Mytilus edulis: one gene and its partner. The protein of the gene in region 1 purifies or fractionates together with the protein of each later gene. This does not show direct contact. Links are inferred from orthologs where the notes say so. Each region holds a gene or a part of one and is shown in the gene's direction. Other genes may lie near its edges.

What was found. The genes of interacting proteins can lie anywhere in the genome.
Region 2: the proteins of gamma-tubulin complex component 2-like (region 1) and gamma-tubulin complex component 3 homolog fractionate together in Drosophila melanogaster (co-fractionation; 3 studies listed by BioGRID). This does not show direct contact. The link is inferred for Mytilus edulis from reciprocal best matches to the Drosophila melanogaster genes Grip84 and Grip91.

What each region holds. Positions count from the first base shown.
Region 1 is NC_092353.1:16,591,152-16,598,535, forward strand, and holds the start of gamma-tubulin complex component 2-like, read left to right. Parts: upstream 1-4,365; 5' UTR 4,366-4,465; intron 4,466-7,384. Other genes in the region: transmembrane protein 138-like, read right to left, coding at 747-918, 2,220-2,344.
Region 2 is NC_092346.1:89,142,709-89,149,843, forward strand, and holds the start of gamma-tubulin complex component 3 homolog, read left to right. Parts: upstream 1-4,125; 5' UTR 4,126-4,132; coding exon 4,133-4,280; intron 4,281-7,135. Other genes in the region: phospholipid-transporting ATPase IF-like, read right to left, coding at 92-106.

The sequences.
Region 1 (7,384 bases):
TCAAAATCGTCATTATTGAACTTGACCTCTATTTTGTCATCAGTAACAACATATTAAAATTAGTGAAGCCTTTGGTAGAACAGTTCATGTGTAAATGCACGGACACGACTGGAAACTTCATTTTTCAATCTTTCAAGAACCATAACTCCTGAACGGTAAAAGTCAAAATCGCCATTATTGAACTTGACCTCCAATTTGACATCAGTAACAACATATTAAAATTTGGGAAGCTTTGGTAGAACAGTTCATGCGTAAATGCACGGACACGACTGGAAACTCCATTTTTCAATCTTTCAAGAACCATAACTCCTGAACGGTAAAAGTCAAAATCGCCATTATTGAACTTGACCTTCATTTAGTTGTCAGTAACAACATATTAAAATTTTAAAAGCTTTGGTTGAACGGTTCATGAGTTTATGCATGGACAACATTTGATTGTCGCCCGCCTGCCCACCGTACAAAGGCGTACATCCCCAATTCAATAACCGACATTTTTGTCACAAAAATCTGGTTAAAAATTCCCAACTGTATCTTGTATATCTTTTTAAAGTCTGTGGTTTAAAATCTCTCCATTTCTATTAAATAAGAAATAAATGCAATTATAATTGAAAAATCTGCAAATTTTTCTTTCAAAATAAAATCTGAAATATTTTTTTTGTTTCTTATTTTTTATTTCCAGTTTTGTTTAATTTTGATTTAAAACATTTGGAACATATTCTATAATCAAAGTATTCTTCATAGCGTACCATTTCCCAGACATGGAGTCCAACATTCAATCCAAAGTAGGCAAATGTCACCATAATTCCTACTTTGAATTTATTTATGAGTATGTTTACTAATCCTGCTTGGAAGATGTATGTGTTGAAAAACAACAGAAAAACTACTATCACAGCAAATATAATACAAACATCCTGTATTCTGAAAAATAAAATAAAACTACTAAGACTCTAAATTCAATATTTTCTTAAACATGTTTGACATCTTTTATACTTATACATTTGTCTTTTTATTTATCTCTGTAAACATATGATTTTAAATACAACTGTGTACTTTTGGAATGTTTCATTACTGATGACTACAATTTATTTGTACCTTTATGATCAAAGGGTCAACATGTATGTCAATTCAACAAATTCACCCAAAACAGAAGAATGTGTCTGAATGGACAGACAGGACAAACGGGACATAAAAGAAAATGACCCCTCTCCCAATTTTTGTTGTTGAAAAAACAGCAATTCTGAGAGGGATTTTGAGCCTTACTTTATCTGACCTGTGTACATGTTGTATAATTCTTGACTAACATTATAATAGACAATTATGGCCTGTTAAAAAGGTGAATATATATATCCAAAATTGTCAACTCGAAAGGTTATTTCAATGAGGGCACAGCCCGAAGTGAAATATCTTTTAAGGGTTGACAATTTTGGATATTCATCGATTCTAAGGGGCCACAATTGTTGTATTATCCCGAACTAGCAGTGGAAAGGCCTTTCAACAAGCTGACGTTTGAAAATATATTTGTGTTCTAGAATTTATACAACAAATGTAGAATCTTTTTGTAAATATTGATGGTCCTAAAAAGGCGATCGTTAGGTGCTGGCAATCTATTCATGTCCAATGCTTTATTTCCTCGTCTGTCTGTGGGATTCCAGTGTAACGTGAACTCTGCCATTTTGTTTATTTACGTCTGTGTAATCATTTTCATGGGAGATAATTCAAGTACAAATCAAGAAACTCAAAAGGTGATTAAATAGTCCTTCTTGCGATTGAATGAAAAATAACTGAATTATTCCATGTCACATGATAATGTTTCACCCAATACTATAGAATTGTTTAAAATATATGTAAGGTATAATAATGTAATATATAATCAAGATATTTGAAAATGAAAATTTTATAGAGGAGGCATGAGAAAATAGCATTATCATAAATACTAATAATTTTTATCTTTTATCAATGCAACATGTTTGTATTGTTTTCTGTCTAATGTTTTGTTATTTATATGTTTGTTTGTTTGTTTATTTAGTTACCACCCTATTGTTTGGATATAAGAATAATAAAAATCTTGTTCTTATAATTCTTATAATATGAATATTATATGAATATAAATCAATACAGAAAAATGAATATTCTTGAAACATATTGATTTTCAAAAATTTCTAAAATACTCCCTCTCTGCAATTTCTCTCTAATAATCCTGTTTCCTTTCATAAACTTACACAAACAAAACTAGCAAGATGACATTCTCAAATCTCAGCATTTCTATAAATGAGTTCATAACAATATCTATAAGCAACAAGAAATACTGCAGATACAGTATAGGGCGATATCTTTCAACCTGCATGGTGATTGGTTGGCTTTTCCTCTCTCAAAATGAATAGGTTATAGTCTTGACCAGTTCATTGTTATATATGCTTCTTGAGTTCTTTCCTGCAAAAAATAATGTATGTAAATCAAAATAATTTAGAGCAATGATTTAGAGGAACTGATTAACATATCAAGCAATACATGTACATTTGTAGGACGTAGGTAGACTAGCAAACAACAAGTTGAACAGTGAGCTAAGAGCATGATACCACACTATATTTATTGGTAAAAAGGATGTTAATGAGTGATGATTTTGTAAATGAAACACACAGTAAAGCATGCTGACATGTGGTTTGATTTCATAGTGTCTTGGTTTGTTATGCCATTGAAAAATGCAATGCAATTACTCCTCATAAAATTTGAAAAATAAATTCCTCACAAAAATTTATCGTTTTCCAGTATTTCACACGAATTTGATCATGATAAGCTGTAAATGTAAAAAAAGTATCATTGATGTTGTGATCCAGTCAATTGTTAAGCTAGTTTTCTGACTATAGTACTAGTATACAAAGGGCTGCTGGATCATCAAAAATATTTTGAGGCTCACGGTACAGTAGCATCATATCAGCCTAGGGAGAAAACTTTCCTTGTGAGCCCAAGTTAATATGAGTGGGTCGTCTTTGCCCGGAATAGTGTACCTTACATTATCCATGAACTAGTGTATTGCCTATTGAATTCTAGTAAAATCGGCACTTGGTTAAATCGGCACCTGGTCAATTCGGCACCCAGTATAGTCAAATTGGCACCTGGTTAAATTGGCATTGATATAGTCAATTCGGAACCTTAGATTTGTTTAATATATATTTTTAACAGTATTTTAAGCAAAAACAGTAAAAATAAGGAATGGGTTGTCCAGAAATTTTACAGTATTTACCCAAGAAGAGGTAGATAAGGTAGGGGTTGGCCAGAAATATTAACCTAATTTTATCATGTTTATTCACATTTTTAAGGGTTGAATTTTATTCATGTTATTTCTATATATTAGTGAATGCCTAATTGACTTTAAATAGGTGCCGATTTAACCAGGTGCCGATTTGACCTGGTGCCGATTTTGACTTGTACCCTTGCCTATTGGGGGGTCAACTTAATATCACCTAGTCCGGAATCGTAATTCTCATGCTCTGCAAATTGTCAAAAAGACCTACATGTAAGACTAAGAGCTACACTAGTCTGCACTACAGGTAAATGTAAAATGCACTCCATCTAACAGTTTTAATGTAGTAATAAATAACTTGCAATGAATAAATACTCTACTACAACGTAACATATACATCAAAGGCAAAACATTATAAAACTTTAAAAAGTGAAATATTACAATTTATATGAGCGCAAAGTTACATATCCGCAAATACTCAAAAATAATATCTACAAAATGCAAGTATATCATATTAAACATGTTAAATAAAATAAATAAATTCATTAATAATAAATGGAAGAAACCAAACAATTTGGAATCACACTTAAAAATCTAACAAGAATCACACCCATGACCTTTCGCAATGTAGCAATCAGTCGTAAGTAGTAGACCACAAACCAACACTGAAAGTACCTTTCAGCTTCCAAATCTGTTTGTTGTTGATCATATTTTTTTAATTATTTTTTTTCTAATTCAAATTTCTAGCAGAAGACTGCAGTGTCGGTACTACTACTAGCAATTTGTCTTTCTTTTTTTAATGAACATGAATTATATGTGTCTGTTAAAGAGATACAACTACAGTGTACAAATATGTGAGATATGCTGTGTTAAAATTACATTTTAGCTCACAAATGGAACATGTTCTTGTTCGTCCATTTTTGTTTACAGTGACTACGTAGTATCGCATAACTTCGCAAAGTCTCGTTTCTTTCATTTGCTTCTTTTCCCATTACTTACCATTTAAAAATATAAAGAATAGTATTTTCACATCATTTTAATCTGTTGGAATTCATGTTAAACATGGGTAACAATATAAACCTTACAAAATCAAGGAAAATGTGCAGGTAAAAAATGTCACATGATTCATACAACGAGATCCAAGATGGAAGACACTACGCGGGAAGAAAAGAAATGTCAAACCAAAACACGATTTCTTTAAATTTGTAACTTAGATAGAGCTTTGTAAGAATTTAATGACACAATTTGAAAAACTATAGATTTGATACATGTAAACGTCGTGAAATTATGTGGAAATCAAAGGCACTTAGACATGAACCTCTGGTTTTTCTTTATCTTTCTGACTTTGTTTTTGTTTATTTATTGTAATAAATTTATATACAAACTTTTTATTGAAGGAATCTGTATCATTCATGTCTCCAAATGACCCCTTTCCTGCTTCCCCCATGGTAGATACTTTAAAGGTCGTAGTCGCACCGTTGTGCACCCATATCGGTAGTTCTCTTCTATATAGATATCTTCATATTTCCGCACTCAGTCACAACTTTGACTATTACGTGCTGTATCACCACCAAACACCACCACACACCGCCGAACACCACCGAAAATCCCAAAAGTTTATTATTTTGTCTTTTAACGTTATAAATGTGACTTTATTATAACTTTCAAGTTATTAATTCAGCAAATCAGAAGATTAAGAGTCCAAATATCTATAGAAAACAGAAAGGGAGAGTCTATAACACCCCACTTTTTGAACTCCGCAGACCCCTATGGACACCTCAAATATTTGTTTTTCCATTTTTTTCTTCGTCTATCTCTTCTATAAAATAGTTGTACCAACAATAAGAGTATATGTACCGGTATTACATTTATGATCTAACCGAGAACAGAGATCGAAGATACTTCAACTGATTACTAATTACGAACATGATGAATATATTTGAATTTTATTATTTTAACAGTCAGGGGACTTACTTAAACAAGTGATTTTCTAAATCACTGATTCAAGTAACATTATTTCCATAAAGGTTGGAAGTTAGAGTTGTCTTTCTTTAATAATCACCTATTTAAGTAGTACAAATAAATCACTAGAAGAAGTGATTTAATATTAGTGTAGCTTTAAATATAGAATACTAATGATCCAGGGACTAATTATGTTTCTAAACTTATCAGAACCAACATCTGTGTTGTCTAGGATGACCAGGTCATTTCAGGTGATGACCTTGTACTGAATCTAGGATAATGACATAAAAATCACTTGTTTAAGTATCAGACCTTAATTTCCTTCCCAAAAATCACTTCTTTAAGTATCATTCTTTTAATAACCCCCACTAATTTCAACACCCCCGAACAGTGAAATTTTTATCGCGAACAGTAGAATTTTATTACATAATCTGAAAGATGAAACCTTGAACTTCACAGGAAAAATACTCCCACTGCTGTGAAAAATCTTTGAAGAAAGTATCAGTTCATTATGTAAAGCCATTATTATAGCATTTTTTCAACTAAAATAGAATTTTCAGGTAAATGATAGCATCAAAGGCATAAAACTTGCTACTTAAAAGAAGCAAAAAGTTCATATTTTTTAATTTTACTAATTAAAAGATGTTATTTAAACCTATGTGTTTAAAATTTTGAAAAAACTACAAAATCCCAATTTGTGACAAAACCTCGAATTTGCTACTCAAATAAGTGATTTAAAAATCACTTATTTCAGTAAGTCCCCTGACTGTTTAATAACACACACAATGTTATGTGGAAAGTTATGAATCTGGAGATGTTTTTTTTCTTCTCATATTGGTAATCGATTTTAACATAAAATAATGCCAATAAAATTCTAAAAATTGTTTAATTATACGTAATTTAATTTGTTTTATTGTATAGTATCACAGTTTTTCTTAGTGGTTGGTGGTTTTTGGAGTGTTTGGCGGCGTTCAGTGGTGTGCGGTGGTGTTCGGTGGTGTAACATTTTTATTTAAATCAACGAATCCTGAAGTGGATTGTTCTTTTTAATCTATGAATTTATTTGTATTGCATGTACTGAACATAGATTAATTGTAGAAGATCTACTTGCTTGCAACAAACCTATCACTGATATGAGTTCCCTTGCCTGTCTATCATACCCTCTTTTCCCAGTGGCATTTTTATACCCCCGCTTTGAAAAAAGGGGGGTATACTGTTTTACCTCTGTCTGTCCTTCCGTCAGTCCGTCTGTCCCATGAATATTTTTCGTCGCATTTTTCTCAGGAACTACAATATAAGGATTTCTGAAATTTTGTTTCAAGGTTTATATAAGTATGCTATACCGTGTGATGCATTTTCAGATTCATCACTCAACAACTTCCTGTTTACCGAACACTTGTACTATTTTACACATGATAACCAAGTCGAAAATTTTCGTCACATTTTTCTCAGGAACTACAATACAAGGATTTCTGAAATTTGGTTTCAGGATTTATACAAGTCAGCTATACCGTGTGATGCGTTTTCAGATTCATCACTCGACAACTTCCTGTTTACCGAACACATGTATTATTTTACACATGATAACCAAGTTGAAAATTTCCGTCACATTTTTCTCAGGAACTACAATACAAGGATTTCTGAAAATTTGTTTCAAGGTTTATATAAGTATGCTATACCGTGTGATGCGTTTTCAGATTCATCACTCAACAACTTCCTGTTTACCGAACACTTGTACCATTTTACACATGATAACCAAGTTGAAAATTTCCGTCACATTTTTCTCAGGAACTACAATACAAGGATTTCTGAAATTTGGTTCACGATTTATACAATTCAGCTATACCGTTTGATGCGTTTTCAGATTCATCACTCAACAACTTCCTGTTTACCGAACACTTGCATATTTTTACACTATTAAAATTATCCACTTGCGGTGGGGGTATCATCAGTGAGCAGTAGCTCACAGTTTCACTTGTTATTTTTATTATTTCCTATTTGCAAAACCAAAATACTGCATATCTTTGTTCATTAACCATATAGAGTGTTGTAAGAAAATAATCTAAAATCCCTAAAATTTATTGAGCAAAATTGTTTACACATGTACCATACTTTATCATGTTTTTAATAGTTGCCAGCCTTTAGTGATGAGAAATTAATTGTGTTATTTTTATCTTGCAG
Region 2 (7,135 bases), on another chromosome or scaffold:
TTTTTTTAGTTTTTCAGTTTTTCATATTTTGTGAATTTTCAAACTGTTCCAACTTCTAATTGTTCATAAATATAAACAGTGTGATACTTACAAAGCAATCATTCATTCTTTCACGTAACACCCGCACCCATGTAAAAACTTTACTGTCCAAATTTCAAATACACCTCTAGCCTACTTTGGGCTTTCCACTTCTAAAGGTAAACAACATATTTTTGTTACGTCCTGTTTTGCTTTCACTTCGTGTACAATTAGGTAGAAATATCTAGAGAACTTCCGAACGAACAGAGACGTCTGCTTTAGGGACCGTTTCAAAACACCGAGTATGCAGTATCCATCCAGGAATTGCATATTTAAATATACAATTCCTTTAAATAATTATACTCAAAATTATTAATTGCAAAACCCGTAAGAGAACATCTTGGATAACAGTTAAAAACCATCCATCCAGTTTCCGTAGGCCTAACCATACCAGATATATCAGAAATGAGTACACACAAAAAAAAACACAAAAAAACCTACCAGATACCATTACATGACAGAGGAAAATAGGGAAAATGGAAGAATTAAAGCAACAAAACCATCCTCCCCTCATTATTAGATATGTCAAAGAATCATCTTAATAAGTTTGAAAGGAAAGTGAGTCATCAGACAAGATGTGAAATCTGATTCCAGAAAAAGGTCGCGAACGGTATTATAAAAACAAAATACCTTATAAAACAACAAAGAGTATATGTGGATAACTGCGGCTAAATACTGAATTGTAACAACTTATAAAAAAGGGGGGATACTATGTGGTTATAAAAAAGAAGTCGAACACATCTTTCTATATCTATATATAAGCATTTTATCATAAAAAAAAAATCGAACTAAAATGCCCAAAAGGAGAGAGCTAGTATACAACAACTATTTTTTTTCACAAATGACATATGAACAGCAATTACGAACAATAAAATTACCAATTTTAACTGAAATCGCATGTCATCGTTTCTCACTTTTTTTTGCGATATTTTCATTTAATTTGGAAAATGGGGTGACACGCGGAACATTGATATTTACAGTTAATCAGAAAATCAGAAAATAGAAAATAAAAAATAGCAAAATAAGCAAATAAATGAAAGGAAATATGATTGAGCTCTATCCTTACCGGTAAGTATTAAGAGACGTATCCAATTATTTTTAGAACTAGAGAAAATTCAACAACAAGAGACCACAAATATATATAACTTGTACAAGACACACTCAAGACTTCAAATCAGACAAATATTCATACACACAAAGAGCTATTGAAACCTGTAACAACATACCATCCTCAGTTACTCGCACTTTTTATCAGATTATTTGAATGGTGGTTAGATAAGTCCTGAGAAACCAACCACGAAAATAAGACTATATACCCATGCAATTATTATGTATCATAACACGACCGGATACCATCGTCAAGCTGTATTTTATTTTAGAACCAGTTAATAAGTTATTCTCAGAAATTATAAGTGATTCCCATCTTCGAGGACGTGACATTATATAATCAATATTAACATCAAGACCGGACACGACCTTAATGTGTACAAATTTCAGACCGTCGAGGAGCTACATAAAAAATAAATTTTATTGATAATTAAGAACAGCTAACAATACTTTGATATGAATTATAAACAAAAACAAATGAAAGACGTCGAAAGACAAACTAGTTCACAAAACACTACATAGAAAAGTAAAGAAACTGGAACAATGCAAATGAGAAAAGAAAAAAAAACTGCTTGATATATTTTATTTTCGTTTAATTTTTGCACGTTTCAGACCAGGTCCCTAATATGTATTGGCAGCACAAACAAAACAAAAACTGTCAAATATCGTTTTATACAGGCTTCTAGTAAGTATTGTTTCTGCTTTGAATAAAAATTATATACTTACTATTTACCACAAAAACTACACTACACATGCATGCACAGAAACGACTGTCATTGTCTTTTTCTTGATTTAAATTACAGTTTCACACGTGAAACCATATACTTTACTTTTTACAAGAGACCCCTTTTCGTTCCCTATTGTTGATATCTTTTTTTTTATTGGGATGTTCCTCTTGAACCTTCGTACAGTGTGTATTTCTTTTCTGTCGACACGTTTGCGAAGTACGTTTTTTTCAATGATAAGCATATATTCTAAGTTAAAGCATTTTTAAAACTCCTGAGAAACAGACAAACCAGAGTGTTGGAAGCATGTGTATATTTGGCCGGTTGTTGGTCTCTTTGACCTATTTCCCAAAACAATTCAATCTGAAAAAAAACCCGGGCCACGGTCGAATGGGGAAAAGGGGGGGGGGGGGCAATTCCTTTTTATGTTAACTTGGCCAGTTTTGGTCTTTTTATGCCCCACCTACGATAGTAGAGGGGCATTATGTTTTCTGGTCTGTGCGTCCGTTCGTCCGTCCGTCCGTTCGTCCGTCTGTCCCGCTCCAGGTTAAAGTTTTTGGTCAAGGTAGTTTTTGATGAAGTTGAAGTCCAATCGACTTCAAACTTAGTACACATGTTCCCTATGATATGATCTTTCTAATTTTAATGCCAAATTAGAGTTTTTACCCCAATTTCACGGTCCACTGAACATGGAAAATGATAGTGCGAGTGGGGCATTCGTGTACTGAGGACACATTCTTGTTCAAGGCTGTGTTGTAAACTGTTATCTGAGATAAATTTAAACTGTTAAGCGTTTTCAACCCACTGTGTTAACTGTTATCGGCACTTTTGCATTTGTTGTTAACTGTTTTTCTCAAAATCGAGGTGTTGTTACAGGGGCGGATCCAGCAACTATATGTCCCCATCAAATGCATTGATCGTCCAAAAAAAAGGGATTCCAACCACCGGACCCCTCCCCCTGGATCCGCGCCTAAGTTAACATGTTAATGGATCCCATATTGCCCCCTCTATCTAATCTATATAAAAAGCAAGAAACGAGAAACAGTAAGTACCACATCAACAAACGACTACCAATGAACAATATGTAGATTCCTGCAATCGGATTTAGGACAGATACAAACAAATTCAGCGGGTTTAAACGTTTTTAAAAGCGCGAAACCTCACCCAACCTACAAAAAGTATGTATGTATGTATGTATGTATGTATGTATGTATGTATGTATGTATGTATGTATGTATGTATGTATGTATGTATGTATGTATGTATGTATGTATGTATGTATGTATGTATGTATGTATGTATGTATGTATGTATGTATGTATGTATGTATGTATGTATGTATGTATGTATGTATGTATGTATGTATGTATGTATGTATGTATGTATGTATGTATGTATGTATGTATGTATGTATGTATGTATGTATGTATGTATGTATGTATGTATGTATGTATGTATGTATGTATGTATGTATGTATGTATGTATGTATGTATGTATGTATGTATGTATGTATGTATGTATGTATGTATGTATGTACTGAGATTCCGCCAATTAAGACGCACCCCTTGATTGACTGCAAGGGTACAGCGGATCCATGTACACTCCCTAAGGATTAATGGAGATGTGTCCTTTACAATATTATCCCACCAGAACAATCCCCACCCAACACCGCCCAAGGGAGCGTGTAGGACACCGGGAAGTCTGTTATTATGATGGAGGAAGCCGAAGTACTCGGAGAGAACCACCGGGCCGCTCGGTGGAAACAGACAAACCAGAGAGATATCAGAAGATTGATCTCCAGGTCAAAGTAGGGAACAACTTTGACCAACCGAGGCCCCCAAAGTACCCATTCTAGTTTAAACTCCGGTCTGGGTACCAGAGATGTGTGTGAGAGGGTGAAAATTACCCTTCTGATGTACTGATATTTTTAGCACCCCGAGTGAGAATCGAACTCGGGACCTTCAGCACTGTAGCCATCGGTCTTAAAACCACTAGACCACGAACTCACATATAGAAATGTTCCTTTATATGAATACGGTTCATTTTGTATTTTGAGACCACCCCTTCACAATTTTTTCGGATAGTTTCGTATCATTATTTTGCTCACAATTTTCTATGATTCGTTGCTCATTTAAAAAGATTATTTTAAACAAATTTGGTGAAATTAAAATTTTCCTTTTTCTTTCTTTTCATTCGAAAATACAAAATAACTTTACATTTCATGCGCATTGCCCGTAGCGCGGCAAAACAATCCTCTTGCAAATGGTCAATATCTGGCACTTTTTGTGCTATGGATAGGAGGGGCACAAATGAAACTGAGACATTATTGTTACAGAAACTTTGTTGTAAAATAACAGGCCTTCCTGAGGGTAAATAAACATGTTCAGTGTTATCTTCAAAAGGTCTGGCATCAAACATCCTCAGACATGCACCAAATATTTTGTTATTGCATGAATGTGTGTCCACATTTTTGTCGTTATTGAAACTGTATTGATATAAATATATCGATAATATAAGGCAGGTGTTTAATATTTGTGAAAGAGTATTAGTATTTGATCGTGATTTTTGCAACATTAAAAATGCATTCAAATGTATGTTGATCCCTCAATTAATAATGAATTTATCTGAACACCCTCTTTATAGATCTGCAAGGGTACAGACTACAGTTCGTAGGTCCTTGTGATAATCATACTCCATGCAACGAAGTTGTGAAGGGTATAATGTTTTTGACCAGTCTGTCTGTCAGTCACCGACTCGGTCTGTCAGTCCTGTTTCTTGTCATTGCAACTCCTCTAAAACCACACATCAGAAATTCAGAATTTCTTGAAACCTTTTTAGATAATACATGTCATACATTTGTAAGTGTAAAGCAAAATATTGTCCTATGAAATATTGTACAAGACAATATTTCATAACTATGTATCATGAAATATTGTCCTCGTCTATGGAAAAATGTCCAGAGAAGGACAAATTTGCATAGTGAAATCCAGTGTTCCAGCTAGGTTTTCAAAAGGGCAGGGTGCCAATCCTGAAAAAGGGCATTTAACGCGCGATATCATAATATGAAAAGGGCATATTTTAATAAAAGATGTTAATCAAACATTTGTGTTTATTCGTTGAATCACAGGTTATACAAGAACAACATCTTTAGCCCATATAGAACTCTATCTTTCTACTTTTAAGGCTGAAAAACTTGTCAAGCAGCTTGTCACACAAGTTTTTTTTATCATTGCTTGGCACAGTTGAACTTTATATGCAGTATGTTTTGAAAGGAGATCTGTTTCATACTGTTTCTATGGTCTACCACATTTGACCAGTTTCACCTTTCTACCCCTGCTGTGCTTGATGGCAATACAGCACAAAACAGCTGTGCTCAGTAAATTCACAATTTAAGGATATAAAGCAACAGTGAAAAATAGTATCAAAAATAAAGAATACAGAAAAAGATGACCAAGGCACCCTACCAACACTGCTGCTAAGACCCTCTTTAACTTTTCCCATAACTCAAAATAAATACCTAAACATATATATTCTTAAGCAAGAAGTATGGAGACACATTTTAGAATATGTAAATGGGTTACTCAATGCTAGGAAAAAAATCAGATTGAGTTATCTTTCTTTATTCGGGTGTGCTCCTTCTTTGGAGGATTATAAACAGTACGTAAATATGATGTAAATATGATCACAATATGGCGGCCGATTTTGATATTTTCGTATCAAAAATGAAGGCAGTCAATGACAAATACGTCTGAATTTTCTGTTTATTTTACAGAAAACAAGTAAAACAATGTCTTCAACGAGTTTATAATGGTTTTCCAACTTTCTGTCATTACGTTTCTTCCATGAAACTACGGTAAACATCGCAAATTGTGCCCAAGTTGTTGTATGCACATTTCTTCAAAGATAATTGCCGACTGACCGATTCTATTTGAACGAATTAATCTTGATGATCATTAATGACCCATCCGATAAACGGATTACCTATAACAACAGATTATGACACCAGTTGTAACCATTGATTAGCTTGGGGTGGTAAACAAAGTCATAATCTTTTCCCCAGGTAAAATTTAGTAATTAGCGTAGCCCATCATATCAATATCAATGTGTGAATTAATACAATATTTCATAGATAAATACTACGAAATTGTGTCCTGTTAATGGGAGGTTATATATATTTTGGTTATATTTTATGAGTATTGAGACAATATTTCATAGACAGATTGTCATTAAATTTTGTCTCATGAAAGGGAGGTTATCAACATATATTTATGTTAGAGAAGGTAAATAGGATTTTTTTCTGCGACACATACCTGTGTTTATATTTACAAAATAAGCGATTGTCAGTACATAACTTATATTTGTACAGTTTAATGTAATAAAATGAAACTTTTGTTAGACAATACTTTAATCTATAATTAACCATTTGTAATGTACATGTATCTATGCAAATTTGAAACTCACTATTAACAATCATATAAATTCTCTACTATACAAAACAATTTCGGTTATAAATCTAAAAATGTGCATGCTCAATGTGAACTATTTCTAATTGTGAAATAATTTGATTAAAAAATATTTTCAAAGCCAGTATTTCATAGTGAAGTATTGTCATGAACAGAATTTCATAGTGAAATATTGTCCCGAAGGAGGTGACAAAATGTCATGGATAAGGACACTATTTCATAATGAAATATTGTGTCCAAGACAATATTTCATTATGAAATACTGTCAGTGGACAATATTTTATATGAAAATTTGTCCGACAGACAATATATCATGGAGGACAATATTTTATGTTACATAAGGACATAATAAGTAGATGTGCATATTGACAGGAAATTATGATTCAATTTTTTGCTAGGAGTTACACCCCTTTGAACTTATTTGCTTCAATATACTACACCAGTTTGTCATCGCAACTCTTCTGAAACCACTCAACAGAATTTCATGAAATCTTTTTAGATAATAAGGACATACTATATAGATGTGCATATCGACAGGAAATTACGATTAATTGTTTTCTAGGAGTTATGCCCCTTTGAATTTATTTGCTTCAATATACTACTGCAACAGTTTGTCATCGCAACTCCTCTGAAACCATGCAACAGAATTTCATGAAACTTTGTAGATAATAAGGACATACTATGTAGAAGGTAGGTCTTTCCACCACTGAACACCCCAGGATTTTTTTCTCTTTATCTTGTATCATTATAAATGTTACCTA